Daphnia pulex: one gene and its partner. The protein of the gene in region 1 interacts with the protein of each later gene in a biochemical or structural test. Links are inferred from orthologs where the notes say so. Each region holds a gene or a part of one and is shown on either strand. Other genes may lie near its edges. The genes, in order: DNA topoisomerase 2-binding protein 1-A-like and cell cycle checkpoint control protein RAD9A-like.

Evidence for each region.
Region 2: the proteins of DNA topoisomerase 2-binding protein 1-A-like (region 1) and cell cycle checkpoint control protein RAD9A-like form a complex in vitro, tested with the Homo sapiens proteins (4 studies listed by BioGRID). The link is inferred for Daphnia pulex from reciprocal best matches to the Homo sapiens genes TOPBP1 and RAD9A.

Annotation. Positions count from the first base shown.
Region 1 is NC_060022.1:4,608,854-4,611,663, forward strand, and holds the end of DNA topoisomerase 2-binding protein 1-A-like, read right to left. Parts: coding exon 2,680-2,810; intron 2,618-2,679; coding exon 1,164-2,617; intron 1,095-1,163; coding exon 881-1,094; 3' UTR 767-880; downstream 1-766. UniProt on the Homo sapiens protein: Scaffold protein that acts as a key protein-protein adapter in DNA replication and DNA repair. Composed of multiple BRCT domains, which specifically recognize and bind phosphorylated proteins, bringing proteins together into functional combinations.
Region 2 is NC_060026.1:14,699,104-14,703,295, reverse strand, and holds cell cycle checkpoint control protein RAD9A-like, read right to left. Parts: upstream 2,754-4,192; 5' UTR 2,546-2,753; coding exon 2,512-2,545; intron 2,442-2,511; coding exon 2,218-2,441; intron 2,159-2,217; coding exon 1,994-2,158; intron 1,935-1,993; coding exon 1,831-1,934; intron 1,771-1,830; coding exon 1,546-1,770; intron 1,477-1,545; coding exon 1,283-1,476; intron 1,227-1,282; coding exon 907-1,226; 3' UTR 735-906; downstream 1-734. Other genes in the region: squamous cell carcinoma antigen recognized by T-cells 3-like, read left to right, coding at 1-136, 207-299, 367-695; lipopolysaccharide-induced tumor necrosis factor-alpha factor homolog, read left to right, coding at 3,205-3,298, 3,381-3,448, 3,510-3,604, 3,671-3,779. UniProt on the Homo sapiens protein: Component of the 9-1-1 cell-cycle checkpoint response complex that plays a major role in DNA repair. The 9-1-1 complex is recruited to DNA lesion upon damage by the RAD17-replication factor C (RFC) clamp loader complex.

The DNA of each region.
Region 1 (2,810 bases):
GCTGTGGTCTCTTTTCTTCCACAAGTCCACAACACTGTTTCACGCTTTAATTTCTCGTTTTCGTCTGCTTTGGTTTCTGAATTTAGTTGATTTAGTTACTGAAAAAAAGGTCTCAATCAAAATCAAACCAGTCAATTCAGTAAAATAATGAAATAAAAAGATAATTTTCTCTAACGATAAACCTTCACAAGAATCCTAATTACGTAAGTTTATAATAGAGTTAAATCTTGCTTTGATACGTTGCGCAATCCAAAAAATTATTGCATTTGCACTACTCATTATCTTTTAATGTAATTCATGTAGAGTACTGAAAAATGTAACAGTTTTAAATATTTTTACAGCAGATTCACGATTGAAATGGATGCATTGAGAAAAATTGTAAGACCCGTGTGCAGCAACCTGCAACAACTCTTTATGTTTTCACCTGCTGTTTTCCCTGTGACAGTGTCAAGAACATTTAGTGCATTATCAATGAGAATTCCCCAAACTCTGAATGTGCAAAATCAACTGTTAACTCCTACTGTTCCTTCACTAGTTCCTAGTTGTGGATTCAAAGTTGTGGGGAAACCGATGAAACGTTGCAAAGACTGCTACAAAGTGGTGAGACAGGGAAGGGTTCATATCATTTGTAAAACTAAACCAAGGCATAAACAAATGTCAATGAAGAAAGATGAAGACAAAACCTGGATACTTACATCTGCAACAATGGGGCCTAAGCGTCTTTGGTAGTTTTGTCATCATTATGTACTAGTTATCAATACAATTCTGCAGGAAACTAGAAATGATTGTATTTCATGGACTTATCTAAGTATCTTTAAACATTTTCTTAAAAAAAAAAGGTATTTTTCACATTAGATTATTCAAATAAAAAGAAAGATAGTTAAGAAGAAGGCATGTTTTCGAGATAAGGAAGAAATTCTTGTAAAACAGACTTGCTCCATTTTAACTTCTTGTCAGTAGCCAGAACAAGATTTCTGAGATAAATCAATGGAACGCAATAAATGCCTCTATTGGCAAACGATGACAACTGCAACTTTTTCGCTTCGCGAGAATCCAAAATGCACAAGTTCGTCTTCTTGTTTTCCAAAGCCGAACTAGAAGAAACGTATAAATAAATGAAAATAATGAATGAAAGAAAACTCTGAACATCCTTATTATCATACCCTTGGTCAACCACCTTTCCGCCACCAGCTTCAAGTAAACGCTGGAAAGAAGCATTTTTCTCGCGAAGGTATAAAACAGCGGTAATTCCGTGAAAAGGGCCACCAGATACTCCTTGACTGCGATTAATACGCCAATAATATGCAGCCGCAGCAATGTTAGCTTCGTCCTCGGTAATGGATTCGGATTCTGGGTAATCCACCGTGGCTTCTGGATTGCCCCATTCAAATTTAGCTTCCTCAAGGAAACGTTTTTCTTTTTCGCTTTCAATCAGCCATTCTGGATGAAGGATCCATTTTCCAGCAGCGATCGACGTCAACAATTTTTCATTAGATCCAACTTTGGCGACGACAAGGTGAGTACACGTTGGGTCGTATTGGTTGGATTCAAGAACGGTTCCTCCCAACTCTTCGATAACAGCAGTACAGCTTTCACGATCGTCTAGTGCCATTCCAGAGAACATGACACGATACGTCTGAGTATTGTTTAGCTGTGAACCGGTTGGCTTTTGTGTCTCGTGAAGATCCCACACAATTGGAGCAGATTGCGAATCTACCGTTTCCAGAGGTTGCGTTGCGGGAACGAAGACGTGTTCAGGTCCTCTACCGTTTCTAGCCCCCGAAACGTTTGTAACCTTTTGCAGAGGAATCTGCTCAGCTGAACGTGATAGCACTTGGTCTAGTTGCAAAAGTTCTTTGCATGCTTCTTCCTCTACGTCTGGGACGACAAGATTCTCTTGTTCTTCATTAGTTTCAAGAAGGTCGTTTTCACGTGGCTCACTATCAGATGATAAGCGCTTACGGGAAGGAATTCTAGGAGTACCCGTTTCGCTGGAACTGGCAGGAAGGCGTCGCTTCTGGGTACAACTAGACGGCGGTGCAGGTTGCGAATTGAAATTCAGTGACAAAGCCATTTTCGGATTCAAAGATGGTGGATAATGCGATTCTTCTAGACGATTCGAAGTATCTTCACAGTCTAGGATCCATTGTGGTGAGACAAATTTCTGGTGCCAATCTTTTGCGCTTCGAATCTCTTTGGATGCAGCTAGCTTGCCCTGATATATGAAATGAGTTACCTCCTCGCAGTGTTGGAAACGAACCTTGCCACCCAGATTTTCAACTGCTTTTACCAACTCGGTTCTTTGGTCTTCAACTTTCTTGTGTATGAATGCCACCACTCCATGAAAAGGTGGCTTTGGTGGTTCTAAGGGTGATGCTGCCGCTGAATTTTCCTCATCCGGTTTCCACATGGCTTGTGCTTCAACTCCACTTTCATCAAGACGCAATTTTTTCCGTAAATTCAAGAAATAATCCGAGTCTTCGGGGGAAACCACAATTTCTCCTTTCTGAATATCTTGTGGGGTAACGTTAAGGGATTCGTCCGCGCGAGGCGTCAAACGAACTCGATTTTCCAATGCATGTTTCCACAATTTTCGAGTTTCGGGTGACGGGTCCGTCTACAAAGAAGAAAAATGCTGATTCCTTTCTGACGATTAAAAATTACAAACTAAAACATTACGTTTAAAAGCCTTCCATATGGTGTATCGGGTGTAGGCATGTTAAAAAGAGATGGTCGAGCTTGAGGTGTTCTACCAATATTATTTGCACTAAACGGATTCTGTTGTAAACACGTAGGAGTGTCAGAGACAG
Region 2 (4,192 bases), on another chromosome or scaffold:
GCAGTTCTGAAGCGGGACCGTGAGCTCATGAAAGGACGACCGGTTTTCATGTCTCCAAGCGAACCGGACGCAGCATTGAAGCATCCAGCTTTCAAGTACCAGTCAACATTAGAAAAGAAAAAACTGTTTATCAAAGGTACGTATTTGCGATCTTTAGGTACGAGCTTAATTTGTTTTTATCCCAAATCTATTTGATGTTATAACAGGCTTAGCTTTCACTACTACTAAAGAAGACTTGGAAGCTCTGTTTAAAAAATTTGGAATTCTGAAGGACGTTCGATTAGTAACGTTACGGAACGGTAGCGTTTAATAATCTAAATTAAATTTATTTTTTCTTTACTAACTTCTATTTAATTAAATATAAAGGAAAGCCCAAAGGTCTGGCTTACGTTGAATTCGAAGATGAAGTTTCAGCGACGATGGCTATGAACCAGACAGACGGAACTACATTCCAGGACAAAGTTTTGACGGTTGCGTTAAGCAATCCACCTCCACGTCGCGAAGACAGAAACCTGGACAAGGATGAACTATCTTTGGGTGGCGGAACACGGGTAAGGAGAACGCAAGTGTCGTTTGTTCCAAACGCCGTCCTTCGCCAGACATCTCAGTCTTCCACCATGCCGCCACCCGTCAGTGTTCCCGCCAGTGCTTCGAAGAGCAATGCCGATTTCCGGTCCATGCTTCTAAAGAAATAATTTGAAAATGACATTGAAATGGCACGAATAAATAAAAAATGGACTGATCAACATTTAATGGCACTTTAACTTTTGTGATCATTATATAGGATACAGTGATGTACCGTTACAAAATTCTGACACAAAACAATACTGAGTTAACTCGGCGAAAGAAAAATGTACAAAATCGTTGGATGAGGGGAAAGCCGGGAAAGGGTTATTTCGTCTCTTGCTATTCATCTTCCTCTGAATCCGGAGCAAAGACTTCAGTTGGTCGCTCTCTGTATTCTTGTGTTAACTTGAGACAATTCTGAAATATGTAGCGAGCCCGAGCTCTCTTATTAGGAGGTGGTTGAATTTCGGGTTCCAAATCTACTTCCATATCAGGAAACGGATGGGGCTCGATAAGAGATAGACTGTTAAGACGTGGGGTATGATCCTCGTTAACAGGCGTTTGTCGTATCAAAGGTGTGTGTAAACGAGTGTGTGTCGTGCTTGCACGAGAACCGTTCCTAGAATCGACCAAATTGGCACGCGAAATGGTCCTGGAATCTAGAAAATTCACGAGGAGAGCAATGTATGTCAAGATCCTGACTTCCCTTTCAAGCCTGTTTTGTTACCTGTTTTATTCCTCAGGGTAGGGACAGGAGACGGATGGTTGGAGGTATTGCCTTGTACTGACATTTCGTGTTTGGCAGTTCGCGAACTAATGGATGCCGTAGTGTCCAGAGCAGGCGTTAGAGTTGCAAGGAGAAAATCTGCTGAATACAAGTCATCCTTTTGTAGACTGAACAAAACAGGCCTGGTAGAAGGAATTCCGTAAATAATCGATGCAACTTTTGAATCACAAGTAAAATGAAATATTGCTTACTGTCCGGCGCCTTCCATTCGACAATCAAGATCGAGTTTCAGGGCTTCTGCGAAGGCCAAAATAGCTCGTAATTCCTTCAAGCAAAATGTAACTTGAGTACACAGAGCGACGTTAAATTCAATGAATTCATCCTTGACCAACGTGACTTCCGTACGAACACATTTGGATGGGTCTATTTCATCATCAATATGGTTACTCAAATGTACTTGATCCATTGCAAGGGACCTTGAAAGAATAAACGAAATTTGAGGTTATTTAAACATGACAATTATGTTGTTGGATTACCAAGTAACTTCTTGAGTGCTTGAATGAAAACTTTGAAGAGTTTCATTGTAAAAACGTGAAGAGCAGGAAAATTTACTGGGGTAACCCTCCTTAGAGAATTCTGCCTATGAATTTTTAGGTTATTTTCATTAAAAGTCTGGCGAGACCAAATCAAAGGACTTACTTCAACACTTTCACATTCAAAGTATCTTAAGTTGAAGTACTTAACAATTCCATGTTTGCACCTGAACTCAATGATTAACAGAGCCTCAAGAAGTGGTAGCATTATCTTACATGTTTCAACTGATTTTTCCAAGCTTCCGATCGACCTAAATACAGACAAGATGGACTGGAAACAAAACATCATTGTAAACACACAATACTTCACATTAAAGTTATTTGTCAGACCTTCATGGGAAGTTTACATTTAATCACAGTATCTTCTTCTGGATCAGCGTGAACAGTATTTTCACTTATGTGCGTGTAGTCAAGAAAAAAAGGTAGGTGAAAATTGAAAGCTGAATAGGCAGATTTGGAAGCATTGACGGTCTTCAGAGTTAATCCATTTTCCATTGGTGAAATGTGCAATTCATCACCTATCTTAGCCAATGAGTGTATGGCTCGCGCCAAAACTAAAGAATAAAAGAAAGTGTTTTAGCTTTCAACTGCTTTAGTACAATCAAATGAAACATCATGTCGTACCCTTAACACTGGTTGCATCCAAAAGACATTTCATTTTTCTTTACTTCAATGTAAATTTAGTTGTTTGCACTAAAAAAAAATTCGAAATGCCGCCAGAAATTATATCGGTAACCCCATGTCCCGGATAACACGTTTAGAATGTTTAGCACGCAGACGACACGGAAATGAATTTTTTCAAGTATGCCCCGATTGGCTGTTGAGATTTTATCTTCACTGAAGATGTAAACAAATGAAACAAGTGACGAGCGTGACTCGTATTATTTCGGCCACATCTGCAAGTCACTGAAACTTGATTGTACTTTTAACCATAGATAAAGAAGACGGTCTTATCTGCTGAGGTACTTCAAGGAAATTTTTTTTCCCCTTGATTTATCAATGGTTTTCAATTATAACATTCTGAAACATTGGAAGACTTTCAATTACATCAGCTTTTCCGCTGTCCAATTCCTGCTGATTACATTCTGAAAAGTCATGGGGCGGAGCTTAAGAACAGCTGTGTAGTGTTAACTAGAGCACAGAGTGTAAACGTTTGTGAATAACTTACTTGTACTGCATGACTTTCTAAGGTAATAACAAATAAAATTTAAACTCTTTCATGATTCAGAATACAAAACATTGAAGTTAATGTTGGTCTGATATTCTGATTACCAATTTACCAATAATTCATTGGATTCTCCATAAACTATTTCACAGATGAGTAAACAAGGTCCTCCTCCAGCTGCCCCTCCTTCTTACATGGAAGCAGTGGGTGGTGTTAATCCATCAAGCCCCTTTACTCCTCATCAAAGTAAAGCATTTTTTTAGTATTTTAACTTTTAATGGGAAATGTGCCTCACATTCAAAATCACAATGTTTATCTCTTTTAATAGATGTAACCAACCAGCAGCCTATTATTGTGACAACCGTGATACCTGTTGGACCCGGAACAACACACACTGTTAGTTTTTCCCTCCACAGTTAATTATATATTTTATTTTCTCTATCTTCTTTCTTTACAGGTCTGTCCACATTGCCATGCTGAAATTGACACTTCTGTGCGTACTGAACCTGGTCTGATTGCCTGGCTTTCTGGAGGTCTTTTAGTTCTATTTGGGTATTACACAGTCAGCAATTTCTTAAGAGTTACACATTGATATAACACATATATTTTTATTACCAGATGTTGGTTGGGCTGTTGCCTTATCCCCTGCTGTATTCCTGAGTGCATGAATGTTCATCATGCTTGTCCAAATTGCAAAGCATACTTGGGGAGATACAGCCACTTTTAAGCTAATGTTCTTACTATGAAGAGGCAATTGGTTCTTTCTGTGTGTTAAATTTCATATTCATTTTTGGCAAATTTGGTTGTTGCATCTTGTATGCCAAAATTTACCTTTTTCCTAATTACACGAAGCTTTTCAATTTCAAAATTTCAAACAATAGAAATGCTGAACGTTGTATTATTCGTACCTTGCTTCAATATCTACTCCGCTTACTTATTAAAATCAAAGATACGCCGTGTTAATTTTATCACCAAAATTTATCAATGAATAAACTTCGAATATATTAAAATTGTCGTTTGTAATTTAAATTTTAAATTCATTGAAAAACGTTTTGTTCGACTGGGACAAAAAACCTATATTCCTTTTCTTAACTGAATTTTTTTAAATTAATTTGAATCTTGCAGTGCCGTAGTTTATTA